3 linked regions of the Nothobranchius furzeri genome follow. The protein of the gene in region 1 interacts with the protein of each later gene in a pairwise test. Links are inferred from orthologs where the notes say so. Each region holds a gene or a part of one and is shown in the gene's direction. Other genes may lie near its edges.

Region 1 (4,642 bases):
CTCTTGTCTCATGTCAACCTTTCTTTTCCTCCATACTCTCACACTCTCTTTCCATCTTCCCTCCTCTAATCTAATCTCCCCCCTTTCCTCCTTTTTTTCTCACCCCTTCCTCCCTACCCATCTCTCCTAGTTGATTCCCCTTCATTTACCCTTTCCCCCTCAAAGTGCTCTCTCTCTTTCTCTCTCTCTCCCCATATGTGTGCATGTGTATGTTGGATGCACATTTCATTGACAGGCTGAAACTATAATGGACTCAACATGAGGCCTTAATCCATTAACAATAGGATCCTTTGGTCAGGAGGCCAGCAAATCCTATTCTGTGTGCGTGTGCGTGCGTGCGTGCGTGCGTGCGTGTGTGTGTGTGTGTGTGTGTGTGTGTGTGTGTCTGTCTGAGAGAGGGAGAGACAGAGTCAGTGTGTGCATTCATGCACCTTTACAAGCATGTGTGTAGTCTTGGGACACAGAGGGACACTGGAATGTTATGCAAGTAATACACAATCTCTTACACACTCAGTAGTACACACATGCTTTCACAGTCAATTACACACACACACGCACACACACACACACACACACACACACACACACACACACACACACACACACACACACACACACACACACACACACACACACTGGAGCTTGTCAGAGCCAGGAGAGGGAGCACTGATAGATTTTGAGAGCCACTTAATGTAATCATCAGCTTCAGAGGCATGTGTTTGTGTTTGACTCTGACTGGCTTTGGTCAAGTGAGAAAAGAGGCTGCTGTAAGTGTTAGCGCTGCTAAATACATGCTGAACTGTTAACCCATATGTGAGCAAGGGTCTGTTTTTCTAACCTGCTCCACACACAGCTGAGGAGCTCTTGTAATTATTGATCTGGTGGTTGAGCAAACTCATGGACAACGTACACTCAGCAAAATGCAATCAAATGTATAAGTGCCCCATTATGAAATGGTTTTCTTTTGTCTACTAATCTGTTCCTTCTCCTCTTTTCTTGCTACAACACTCATCTCTCCTTCTACAGAGTAACTCGCTGTTACCGGAAAGTCTCAGGAACTTTGATAAGCGACGCAATGGTCCCGACCTCACAAACGACACCAAGAAACGCAAAGTGGACGACAAAGACTCTAGCCACTATGTACGATATAGTTCTTAGTTTTATTTTTCCTTTTTTCCCCTTCCAAATACTAATATTTAAATGTGAACGTGTCTTTTGTGGTTTAATTGACTTTTAGGACAGTGATGGAGAAAAAAGTGATGATAACCTGGTGGTGGACGTGTCAAATGAGGTCAGTGTCTAATAATGGCTGGATTCTTTGAATGCTATCTTTTCTGAAGGTGGTATGACTTAATTTCTCTGTAATCTTGCAGTTTTGTTGTCAGGTCATTCACGTTGTTTATTTACCCACCAGGACGCAGCCTCCCCCCGGGGGACACCTCTTGCCTCCCCTAGAGAAAATGGCTTGGATAAAGCACGTCTCCTGAAGAAGGACCCCTGTAGTCCAGCGTCTACTGCCTCATCAGCCAGCTCCTCCTCTCTCAAATCCAAAGAGATGACCATGGTAGAAATCCGTCTCAGCCTATAGTCGGACAGATCCATTAAAATATTTAATAGTGACACAATGCTTGTGAATTTTTCTGTGTGGCAGCGAGAAAAGGCAGGTACACCAGGTCTAAAGTCAAGCACCCCCACACCTAGAGGTGACTCCACCCCTGGTCCAAGCTCCACACCTGGAATCCGACCCAGTCTATCAAAACCCCCATCTATGGAGATACCACATCCGCCCAGTATGTCTATACACGAGCTTAACATGGCTATATTTTTGGGTGGGGAATTAGAAATAATTCAATAATTTTGTTTGTACACTTTGTGAAATGTCTTTGTTTAAACAATGTAAACTGACATAAACTGGTCTTAAGAACTTGTTTTTACACATCCATGGAAAAAAAAATCAACATACTCAATATTAAAGAAACAGGGTATCTGCGGGTCCTTAAAAAGTCTTAAAAAGTCTTAAAAAGTCTTAAATTTGCTTTTCAAAATTTAAGGCCTCAAAAATCCTTAAAAATGACAAATAATCCTTAAATACAGTTTCCAAAGGTCTTAAATTCCCAAAGGTCCACTAAACAAGATTCTTTTATTTCAATAAAAATTTTGTGAATTTCTAGTTAGTGTTCAGGATTTTTTGTGTACGATGTTGGCGTAAGCGGAACCGTACACATTCAGTTGGTTGTGAAAGGGGGCTATTTTTAGATGAGCACATTAGCTGGTTAAGCTAGTGGGAGCTTGCGCCTTGGGGAAGTTTTATGGTAACTGGATGGCTAATCCCACGTTTGCGATGTGGTTAGCACCGGTTCCAGGAAATAGCTGGAAGTTATAGCTTAAATTTATTTAATTTTAAAAATAGCTTAAATTTGGTCAAAGTGGCCTTAAAAAAGGTCTTAAAAAGTCTTAAATTTGGCTCCTTTAAACCTGCAGATACCCTGAAGGAACCTTTCTTGTAATTTCTGCTGTTTTCTTGTAATTTCTGCTGTTTGTTTAGAAATGTGCTTGAAAGGCATACTGTGCAACTTTTTCATATTTTTTAAATCAGTTTCTTGAGCAAGTATGTTCAAAAATGACCCTGTACAAGGTCAATGAAATGTCCCTCAGACACCACCGCCCCCTGTAGCCAGAATATCACACTCGCAACTTTAGAGAGCTGGTCCAGTCTCTGTTAAGCCTGATTCATGCTTCTCCATCAGCTCCGCAAGGGACAAACACGTATGGATTGCCGGAAGCGTTTTGCTCTCATACTTCTCCGTCTCCTGGGGAGTGTTACAAAGCAATTCCCCACCAGGACAACAGAGGGCGTAGCGCTCTTCTGTGGTATGCTGTCATGTATCCGGTCTAAGATAGTGTGTTTATATTGTGTGTTTTTGTATATAAGAGACGTTTTAACACGGGCAAATTTGTCTCTCATCCTCCTCCACCTGTTCATGCGCTCGCCACCTCTAAACTCACATTTCCTGTCATTTCCGTCCACAAATAAAACGCTTGCTGCGCATCTTTTCACTCCTCCAGTCACGGGGGAATTAAACGTTCATATTTTTAGAGTTTTTTCGCGAGGTATTCTTCAAGCTTCTCCGTGTCTGCCGCTAGTTATCCTCGGCTCTCTTTATGTTTTTGAGGGCGCAATGGCGGCGGTGTAGATGACAGCGGCGTCTTGACCAATCACAAGCTTGCGTTCTCCGTCTCGACTGACGGATGTTTAGAAAAGAGAGCTCGACTCTGTCCGTCCTTGCAGAGCTCTCGATTAGGCCCGCAAGGATGTTGCATGTCTCCGCACCGACGCAGACGGAGAAGCATGAGTCAGGCTTTAGTTTTAATAAAGTTCCAGCACGTTTCCTGCATGTTTGGATCATGAACACCGATGATTTGTTTAATTTATTGATGAATCACTCCTGACATTAAGGAAGGCTGAGGAGACATAGCAGCTGTTTGATTAAGGTGTTAAAAAGACAAACGCACAGCGAGGAAATAAGTTTCACTCTTGGTTTTACTAACGGACACTAGGGGGTGCTAAAAGCAAGTCCAAACTGCCTAGTCTCCCTTTCACATATCTTTGACCACAGAGAGAATCCTAAGGATTAGCGATAACTCCTCTCTCCTCTTTCAGCTGCAGGTTTGAGAACTCCTCTGGCGGTTCCAGGTCCGTATCCAGGTGCGTTTGGGATGTTGCCCCACGCAGCAGGGATGAACGGGGAGCTTGCTGGAGCAGCTGGAGCTGCAGCTTATGCTGCTGGATTGCACAACATGTCACCTCAGATGAGCGCTGCAGCTGCAGTCGCGGTGGCTGCGTATGGGCGTTCTCCTATGGTGAGTCATCATTCAGCAAGACCCTTTTTTTAAACTCGACTCTTTAAATATTGTTCTTATGATTCTACTTTACTTAATCCTTGATTTGTGCAACAGTCTTAATGCGAGAATGCTTAAGTAATCTTCATCTCGTCTAAGATTTTATTCCTCCTGTTGCACCTGTCCCCTGATGAAATATTCAGTAGGATGGAGATTTTCTTTCTTCCTGCTTCTGATTTTTTTGTTACTTTTAGATTCTGACAGCTGGAACGGTTTCACCTTCCAGACGTGCAAATTAAAATCACTTGTCACGTCCCGATTAAACGCAGGTGTCGTCCACACGTCAGGGAGTTCACTCACTCTGTGTATTTGTTTTGTTCTACTTCAGTAAATTTACTTTGCCAGGTCTAATTTCAACATGGAGACAAAAACATTCAACTCCCAAGTCTGGATGTTTAGGGGTTCAAACACTGACTGTCTTATATTGCAAAGTGTTTAAAGTGTCAACAGTTGCTCCACAGTGTTGCTCCATTCCTTGTGACGATATTTAAATGGCGTGCTGCTAGTGAGCATTACGTTCAATCACCTTATCACTCTTGGCTGTGTTTGCTAAGTGTTCATTATGCTGTTTAAATAGGTTTAAGAGACTCACAGCTGTGTCTGGGCACCAATTGATGGCACCTCAGGTTGTGTACTCAGCCGCTGTGTGTGTGTGTGTGTGTGTGTGTGTGAGGAGGTGGTAGTGTGAGCACTGAGAGCTCTGCCTGTGTTTGCTTTGTGCTGAAAGGTGTTTGTGCTTCGT
Region 2 (3,980 bases), on another chromosome or scaffold:
TTTAAAGGTAAATTAGTGTGATGGCACCTGGGGTGGCCAATCAGATTCCAAGGGTGGCATGTGCTACCCCAGGCCACTCCCTGGACACGCCTCTGACCAAAACAAAGTAATTCGTGTGCGATCGTTTATATCAGTCCATATTCTCTGGTACTTCATGTACTTTTCAGCTGACTTCATAATCTGTGCCCCGGTGATTTCAACTTATTGCTGCTGGAGCGCAACGAATATTAAGCTTTTTTTAAAAAAATGTTTATTTTATTTTTTTGTGGGTTTGGTAGATCCCTTTGGCTGATTAGTTAGAAAGTAAGAAATTTAGGGAACAGTTTTTCTGGAAGACGGAGAAAACATGCAGCATGCAGGAAGGTTAGAGAGAAAAAGGGCAGGAAATTATTCAAATAAAATCAAGAAAACAAAACAAAGTGCTTCAAAAGAAAAAAGTAGGTAGATTTATCCCCAATACACATTTTTACCAGTGAAAAGCAATAATATATAAGCATTTAATATTTATACATGTGATAGAATCAGATCACCCCAGAAGTCAGTCCCACATCCAGGGCCATATCAAGGCATTTGGGGACCAAGGCAAATATAGGCTTGGAGCCCCCACCATGCTCAGTTAATATAAGATGGCAGCGTGCTGAGAGTACAGATTGTTGTTGCTTTTATTTAATAAACAATAATTTTAAAGCACTGTTATTATATCTGACTGTTTTTAACAGCAACCCTAGCTAGCTCAGACACATCGACATACATATATGGACAATGGGTTTCCATAGACTTGCTCTTGCATTGTGGGGGCTTGCTCAGACACCACATCACTTTCCACATATATGTCATGAGCTCACTGAGCGTCAGATTACCAGATTCATATTGAAGTTGTATTGTTGAAAGTAACTTAAAGTAGTTCAAAAGTAGTTTAATGCCTTACATTTTAAAATCAGTAATATTGTAATGTAATGAATTACTTTAAAATGAGGGTAACAAGTAATAGATAATGCATTACAGTATTGAAGTAACTTGCCCAACACTGATTGTAGTACGCACTTAAGTATTAATTTCATTTTACGTTTAGCTAATATTTAGGGTTTTTTGTGCTTTTCATATTCCTTTAAAAACAAATCTCATTTCCTCCAGAAGGGGGCGCGCGCGTGCAGGTGAAACTGAGCGTGCGTCCGACCGCAGATAAAGAACGGGTGACGTAACCACTTCCACAACAACAAGAAGCTGAGAAACAAGGAAGTGTCAAGCCGTAAGCTATTATAAGGCCGAGACAAGATACACAAAGCGCCGTTTAATCTGATGTTCCTCAGCCTCCGAATCAGTCCACAACAATGAATAACAAAGGTATTTCTCCGTCGTGTGTTTCATTTTCCAGCTAGCTACTCGTTACTTGACGTTGGCGTTGTAAGGAAAGACGAGGAGCTCGCGTTGTGGCCAACTGAAGCTACGTACATAACAATAAACTGACGCACACTCCGAACCAAGCTGTCTTGGATATTGCTAACGTCGGATGTCCGAATTTAGTTTCACATTTTGTTATTTGACCAAAACGGGCCGGTCAGATGTGTTCCAGCAAGCTAACGTGATTATAAAAGCAAATCTGACATGGCTTTCCTGTTTTTGTTGGGGAGGGGGGGAGTTCTTGTTAACAAAGAACATCCCGGTTACATTTATGTTTTTAGACCTGTTCGGCGCAAAAATGCACCAGGTTGTTTATTTCTTCTTTTGTTTGTCTTATTTGAGCTTAGATTGTCTTTTTGTAGCATGACATCTTTGTTCGTGGCTAATGCTAATGACATTTCATGATATTTTTCTTACTGAATTAATTGTTTCACTAAAGCTAAAATAGAAGCAGACATTTTATTCAAACTGTAATGCGCGATGGTCGATTTGTCATGTTGGAAAGACAAAGAAAATGTAAAATTCACATTTGTTTACTAACCACCAGGCTTTTGTGCGTTGTGTTAATCAGATTCGGCTTTATAATAAAATCTTCCATTTACATTTTATTAATTTCTAATCCGTTCACTTGTGTTTTTACAAGTAATACATTTTTACCCTTTGCTTATACTGTCTGGGCTGAGAAAAGTGATTATGTCTAGTTTCCTGGTATTGTTTGCCATACAATGCACTCAAAACAAAACTAGAAACTCTCTTGGCAGTGACAGACTTGCTACAGTCATCACATAGTTTGTTATAATTATGCACAACAGTTTCAGTTGCTTAAATAAATCCCCCCTGATGATATTAAATAACATGTTTCCATCAATATTTAAACATTGTTCTTTCTTTTACTGCCGCCAAATGTTGGACCTAAAGACACTTTGTGTCAAAATCTGGTTTTTGTTCTTTTGTCTGTAAAATGTAGAAACGTTCAAAGTTGTACCCGAAAAAGACCAACGTTAGCTTCAGTATACAAGACATTGGGATTTTCTGTAACGTGTACCACTCAGTAGTTGCGTTCACATCAGTAATAATTTCATGTATTTAGCTGTAAATGTAATCAGCTCCCTCCCATCTCCACTCAGAAGCAGCATCAGTTTATTTATGATGATGATGATGATTGAGAAGAAGTACTTGCAGCTTAATGTTAGTAGTCAAAGTCATTAGTAATAATCAGGGATGTGTATTTTTGTAATTCTGGCGATACGATACATATCACGATACAGGGGAGACGATACGATGTATCCTGATATATTGCGATACATTCAGTCAGACGTTACAAGCTATTTTTTACTGAATTTATTATAAGCATGTTCAATAAACAGTCAAAACTGATATGTAACATGTTTAACATGAGGTATCTGAACCATGATGGAGGGATTTACAGTTCAATGGTGGAAACAAAACCCGTTGCACACTGCTGCCAACTAGCGGGTGGCGATTGAATTGCACAAAACGAAAAGAAAATACACAAATGTTTGCATGTTTGCATTCTTTCAAGAATTAGATACACGGCTTTTGAATATCAATGTAATAATCACAGGGAAAAATATCACGATATATTGCCATATCGATATTTCCTATATGCGGCTTTTGAATATCGATATAATATTGCTGGAAAAATATCGCGATATATTGCCATATCGATATTTCTGATACACAGCTTTTGAATATCGATATAATATTGCTGCGAAAAATATCACGATATATTGCCATATCGATATTTTCTTACATCCCTAGTAATAATGAAACGGTTCTCATCCCATAATTCTTCAGCTGTGCGTGTTTAAAAGTGAAATGTTGTTTTGCAGGCTCATACCCACAGCAGGCTGTGTACCCTCAGCAGAGCTCTGCACCTGTATACCCTCCTGCTATGCAAATGTCTCCTCAGGCACCTCCATACTCAGACACACCACCTGCATATTCTGAGGTAACGCTTGCATCTACAGGTCAAGCCTAGATTAGCTTTTTTTTTTTTTTTAGTATTCTTCAATTAAATCTGTTTCTCGTGTCTTTGTATGCAGATATACCAGCCCAGATACGTGCTTCCACCTCAGGTGCCTGGTCAGGTGCCTCAGATGTCCTCTCCCTACCCTGGTGCTCAGGTGTACATGCCCATGCAGCCACACATGCCCGTTGGTCCGGTGGGCCAGAACGTTCCCATGGCTTACTATCACATGGGAGCTGTTTACCCCCCTGGTTCAACAGTGATGGTGGACGGTGGCTTTGATGCTGGAGCTCGTTTCACAGCTGGCAGCAGTGTTTCCATCCCAGTGAGTACGGAGTGACTTAACCTGTAGCCAAGGCCTTTGTAACTCTTAACCTGCCACTGAGCTCGTTTCTCCTCTTCTCTAGCCCCCACCCCCTGGACACCCCCCTAATGCAGCTCAGCTGGCTGCCATGCAGGGTGCCAATGTTGTCATGACACAGCGCAAGAACAACTTCTTCCTGGGCGGATCCAGTGGAGGTTATACCATCTGGTAACAGCAGCTACTCCCCTCCTTGTTTATGCCTAAACCGTACCCCCGTCCCAGATG
Region 3 (4,179 bases), on another chromosome or scaffold:
CCGAGAAGGCGCAGACTTGTGCGCCTGCGGCTCCCCGCCGGTGCAATCCCAAATCCTCAAACACAGAAAGCTTTTTTCTCATGATCTCATTTCCAAGTTAAGCAGACTCTGTTAGTCCCTCGTCAACACGACAGGTTTACTCGCCTTTACTAATGGGGCTCTGTACTGATAGTTATGCTCCTGCGTAAATATGCAGTCAAATAGATGTACAACCACCGACACGTGGCTGACACCGCTCCGCAGCCTCACCTGGATGTTTGTTTCATACAAATACTGTACGCGCGGCGCTAGTCAGGGGCCCTTTTAGCGCCCCGGTTCTCCTGAGCCTCTTTAACAGAAAAAAGATAAACAGATTATACAAACGTTGTTGTTTAAAGTGACTCTTAAACCAATAGAAACAAAATCGTGTCTGCAAATGGGGAAACAAACGACCAAATGAAGAAGTTGGATATTGATGTTAATATGCCTTAATTAAATATTTTTATCAATTCACATTTTCTTGCTTATATGGTTTGCCACAAATTCATTAAAATTGCACACACACCTTTATTTTAGCGTTTGAAATAAAACGAGCAGCCTTGCATGAAAGAGCAATGCCAGTAACGTCCAACAGAGGGCGCTCTGAAGCTGCACGTGCGTTGCAAATAAATTTACCCAATTAAAAAAGATAAAACATTAATTCAGTAATTCAAGTGGAAAAACCGATTCATTTTTAGAGTTTTTATGGAATTTTACTGTTGATAATTTAAAGAAAATATCACATAAATTCAGTTTTGACTTTAGAATTGAACATTTTGAAGATTAATATTTACATGTATATATTTGTATTTTGCATTATTTGACTTTTAATATTATAAAAATAACATTTAATCAAACTCTAATCCCTATCTTCTTCTTATAAAACCTTTGTTTTTTATTTTTAAATTGAAAATCTAACATTTTAGTAATTTGTAATGGATAATTTATCCCCTTTCTCCTAAAACAAAGTAAAATTTATAAACATCTGTTTAGTTTCACTAAAATCACCCCTGTATTAACTTATGTCGATCTGAATAAAAGAATAAACTTACAGGATAAGATCATAAATGTTTTTAACAATAAAAACGGATTATGATCTGAGTGCAGATGAGTGGAGTCAGGTCGTTGGAGGATGTGCGTAAAAGCGCACAGAGGAAGGGTGCCAAGCATTCCTTTTATAGTTCCTCTTTTTTTACTCCCCTACAATAAGATCAGTTTTATAATGAAGCTTTTCATATGAAACTGTTCTTTTCAGTGCGCGCAGGTGTACCATTGGGTTGGTGGTGGGTGGTGGTGATGGTGGAGGTGGGGTGGGGGAGAAGCTTGAGGAGTCTCACGCCTAGGTGCGAGGAGATTATTCAAATAGGGCCCAAGGCGTAGAAGTAGGGATTGGAGGCTTGCCTGGTGCACAGAGCTATATCACAGCGTTAACAAGCAGCGCGTCATTTGGACTCCAGTCACTGACAGGCGCATCACGGCTGCCTCCCAGCGACACACATGCACCAGTTCTCCACGAAGGGACACAACGACAACCCACACGCACTCAGTGGTCCCTAGTCGCTTGTTATTAGAGAGACACTTTTGGCTTTTCCTCTGCTGGGAGACGCTTTGTGAAAGTCCTCCATGATGCTTGGAGCAGTTAAAATGGAAGGACACGAACACACCGACTGGAGCACCTACTACGGAGAGCCTGAGGTGGGTACCTTAAATATATATTTTTCCCGTCTAAAGCCGATCCCATTTTATACAACTCAATATTAGCCCTGAGATAATATTAACTTTGTGATCAAATATTGACTTGAGGCGCCTCCAAATCCTCCCCCATCTCCACGCAGCGCGCTATTAAAGTTGCCTGACATGTAGTAAGGAGGGGGAAACTTCTCACTCGGATAATGAATCAGATTATTTATTTATATTTTCTTTAAATAAACACGTGTGGTGTTTGATTTTTAGGGATGAGGGCTCCAGTTTTCGTAAAGGAGGCGTTTCATGTGCGGAATTTAAAGGGATCGCGCGTTTCAGAGGATTATTTACCACATTATTTGTCATCATATTCATAAATATTTGTTATTTTTTGATTACACGCTCCTCCATTTTTACATGGCATAAACTTCAAACAGCTGATTTATTAATTTTTTGTTAAATATTACAACAATGTTAAGGAATTATTACAGCAGGTGTTTTCTTTGCCAAACTCATGGATGTGCTTTCCCTTCTCTGACAGTGTTACACCTCTGTTGGCAACATGAACACAGGCCTGGGAATGAACTCTATGAATACCTACATGAGCATGTCCGGAATGAGCACCACGGCCAACATGACGGCCAACTCCATGAACATGTCCTACGTCAACACCGGCATGAGTCCCTCCATGACCGGCATGTCGCCGGGCACCGGGGCCATGAACGGCATGGGCGCAGGCATGACGGCCATGAGCGCAGCTCTGAGCCCCAGCATGAGTCCCATGACCGCGCAGCCCGCGTCCATGAACGCCCTCACGTCCTACACCAACATGAACGCGATGAGCCCCATTTACGGACAGTCCAACATCAACAGATCCAGAGATCCCAAGACTTACCGCAGGAGCTACACGCACGCCAAACCCCCCTATTCCTACATTTCTCTCATCACCATGGCCATCCAGCAGTCTCCCAGTAAGATGCTCACACTGGCTGAGATCTACCAGTGGATAATGGACCTGTTCCCCTTTTACCGACAGAACCAGCAGCGCTGGCAGAACTCCATCCGCCACTCTTTGTCATTCAACGACTGTTTCCTGAAAGTGCCCAGGTCTCCGGATAAACCCGGAAAGGGTTCATTTTGGACTCTCCACCCAGACTCCGGGAACATGTTTGAGAACGGCTGCTACTTGAGGAGGCAGAAGCGCTTCAAGTGTGAGAAGAAGACGGCCATGAAGGATCCCGGGCGCAAAGGGGGAGACGGGGCATCATCTAACTCCAGCTCAGAGAGCTGCAACGGAAACGAGTCCCCGCACTCCAACTCCTCCTCCGCAGACCACAAACGGTCCCTGTCAGACATGAAGGCGAGTCAGGCCCTGAGCCCGGAGCACGCCGCCGCCTCCCCGGTGTCTCAGGGCCAGCACCTCATGTCGCAGCATCACTCTGTCCTGGCGCACGAAGCGCACCTGAAGCCGGAGCACCACTACTCATTCAACCACCCCTTCTCCATCAATAACCTCATGTCTTCGGAGCAGCAGCACCACAAAATGGACCTTAAGACTTACGAGCAGGTGATGCACTACTCTGGGTACGGCTCCCCCATGGCCGGGGCGCTTTCTATGGGCCCAATGACGGGAAAAGCCGGGCTGGATTCTGCGTCTATACCTGACGCGTCTTACTATCAAGGCGTCTATTCAAGGCCAATCATGAACTCCTCATAAACATTCTGCATGTTGGACTTTTTTCCTTGTTTTATTTGTATATTTGTAAAAACAAATCAACACCAACAACATCAGAAACAAACAAAAAATATAGACTTTGTGTACAAAATTGTATTTCAGATATTTTGACGTTTCCCACCGTTTTAGTTGTCAAGTTTATTAGTAGCCTGTTTATTTTGAGGAAGAATGTTGATTATTAAAAAAATCAAATAATAATAATAACATCAACAACGTGACAAGGAATGGACCCCAAAGACACACAACAACTTGCTGTAAGATAGCTTATTTCCGCTTTACGGTATTCCTAAATGACTTTAAACGCATCACAGGATTTGTTCAATCATTTGTGTAATTCCTATTTATGGCTTGTATATGTGTATTTCTTGTAGTGACAAGAACAGAATCTATATTAAAGTGTTATTGGTTTTGTTTTCTGAATATGATGGTGTTTTATTATTATTATTATTTTAATTATTATTATTATATTAGGTTTTTGCTTCGCCATTTTAGTGCTAACTCAAATTCAGTTCCACACAAGCAGAAAATTATGTTATTTTCAATAAATTTTATTAAATAAACACTTCAAATAACAATGATAAATTTAAAGGAAAAAAGTACAAACAAATATTAAATAAACAGTAATTGACTCCCACATTCATGTAATAACTTAGTGGAAATTTCCAATTTTCTGGTATAAATACTAGATATTTATGGGTTTATTTGTTTTAAATTATGGAATTTATTCTCATCCACGCGCTTTT

What was found.
Region 2: the proteins of transducin-like enhancer protein 1 (region 1) and dazap2 interact in binary tests that used the Homo sapiens proteins (3 or more experiments, as listed by UniProt). The link is inferred for Nothobranchius furzeri from reciprocal best matches to the Homo sapiens genes TLE1 and DAZAP2.
Region 3: the proteins of transducin-like enhancer protein 1 (region 1) and foxa2 interact in a two-hybrid assay, tested with the Homo sapiens proteins (2 studies listed by BioGRID and IntAct). The link is inferred for Nothobranchius furzeri from reciprocal best matches to the Homo sapiens genes TLE1 and FOXA2.

Annotation. Positions count from the first base shown.
Region 1 is NC_091757.1:48,831,837-48,836,478, reverse strand, and holds part of transducin-like enhancer protein 1, read left to right. Parts: intron 1-1,026; coding exon 1,027-1,140; intron 1,141-1,237; coding exon 1,238-1,291; intron 1,292-1,414; coding exon 1,415-1,564; intron 1,565-1,651; coding exon 1,652-1,790; intron 1,791-3,661; coding exon 3,662-3,861; intron 3,862-4,642. UniProt on the Homo sapiens protein: Transcriptional corepressor that binds to a number of transcription factors. Inhibits NF-kappa-B-regulated gene expression. Inhibits the transcriptional activation mediated by FOXA2, and by CTNNB1 and TCF family members in Wnt signaling.
Region 2 is NC_091755.1:37,294,029-37,298,008, reverse strand, and holds the start of dazap2 (DAZ-associated protein 2), read left to right. Parts: upstream 1-1,180; 5' UTR 1,181-1,331; coding exon 1,332-1,344; intron 1,345-3,254; coding exon 3,255-3,373; intron 3,374-3,467; coding exon 3,468-3,716; intron 3,717-3,798; coding exon 3,799-3,927; 3' UTR 3,928-3,980. UniProt on the Homo sapiens protein: In unstressed cells, promotes SIAH1-mediated polyubiquitination and degradation of the serine/threonine-protein kinase HIPK2, probably by acting as a loading factor that potentiates complex formation between HIPK2 and ubiquitin ligase SIAH1.
Region 3 is NC_091758.1:36,350,852-36,355,030, reverse strand, and holds foxa2 (forkhead box protein A2), read left to right. Parts: upstream 1-1,379; 5' UTR 1,380-1,641; coding exon 1,642-1,713; intron 1,714-2,242; coding exon 2,243-3,418; 3' UTR 3,419-3,856; downstream 3,857-4,179. UniProt on the Homo sapiens protein: Transcription factor that is involved in embryonic development, establishment of tissue-specific gene expression and regulation of gene expression in differentiated tissues.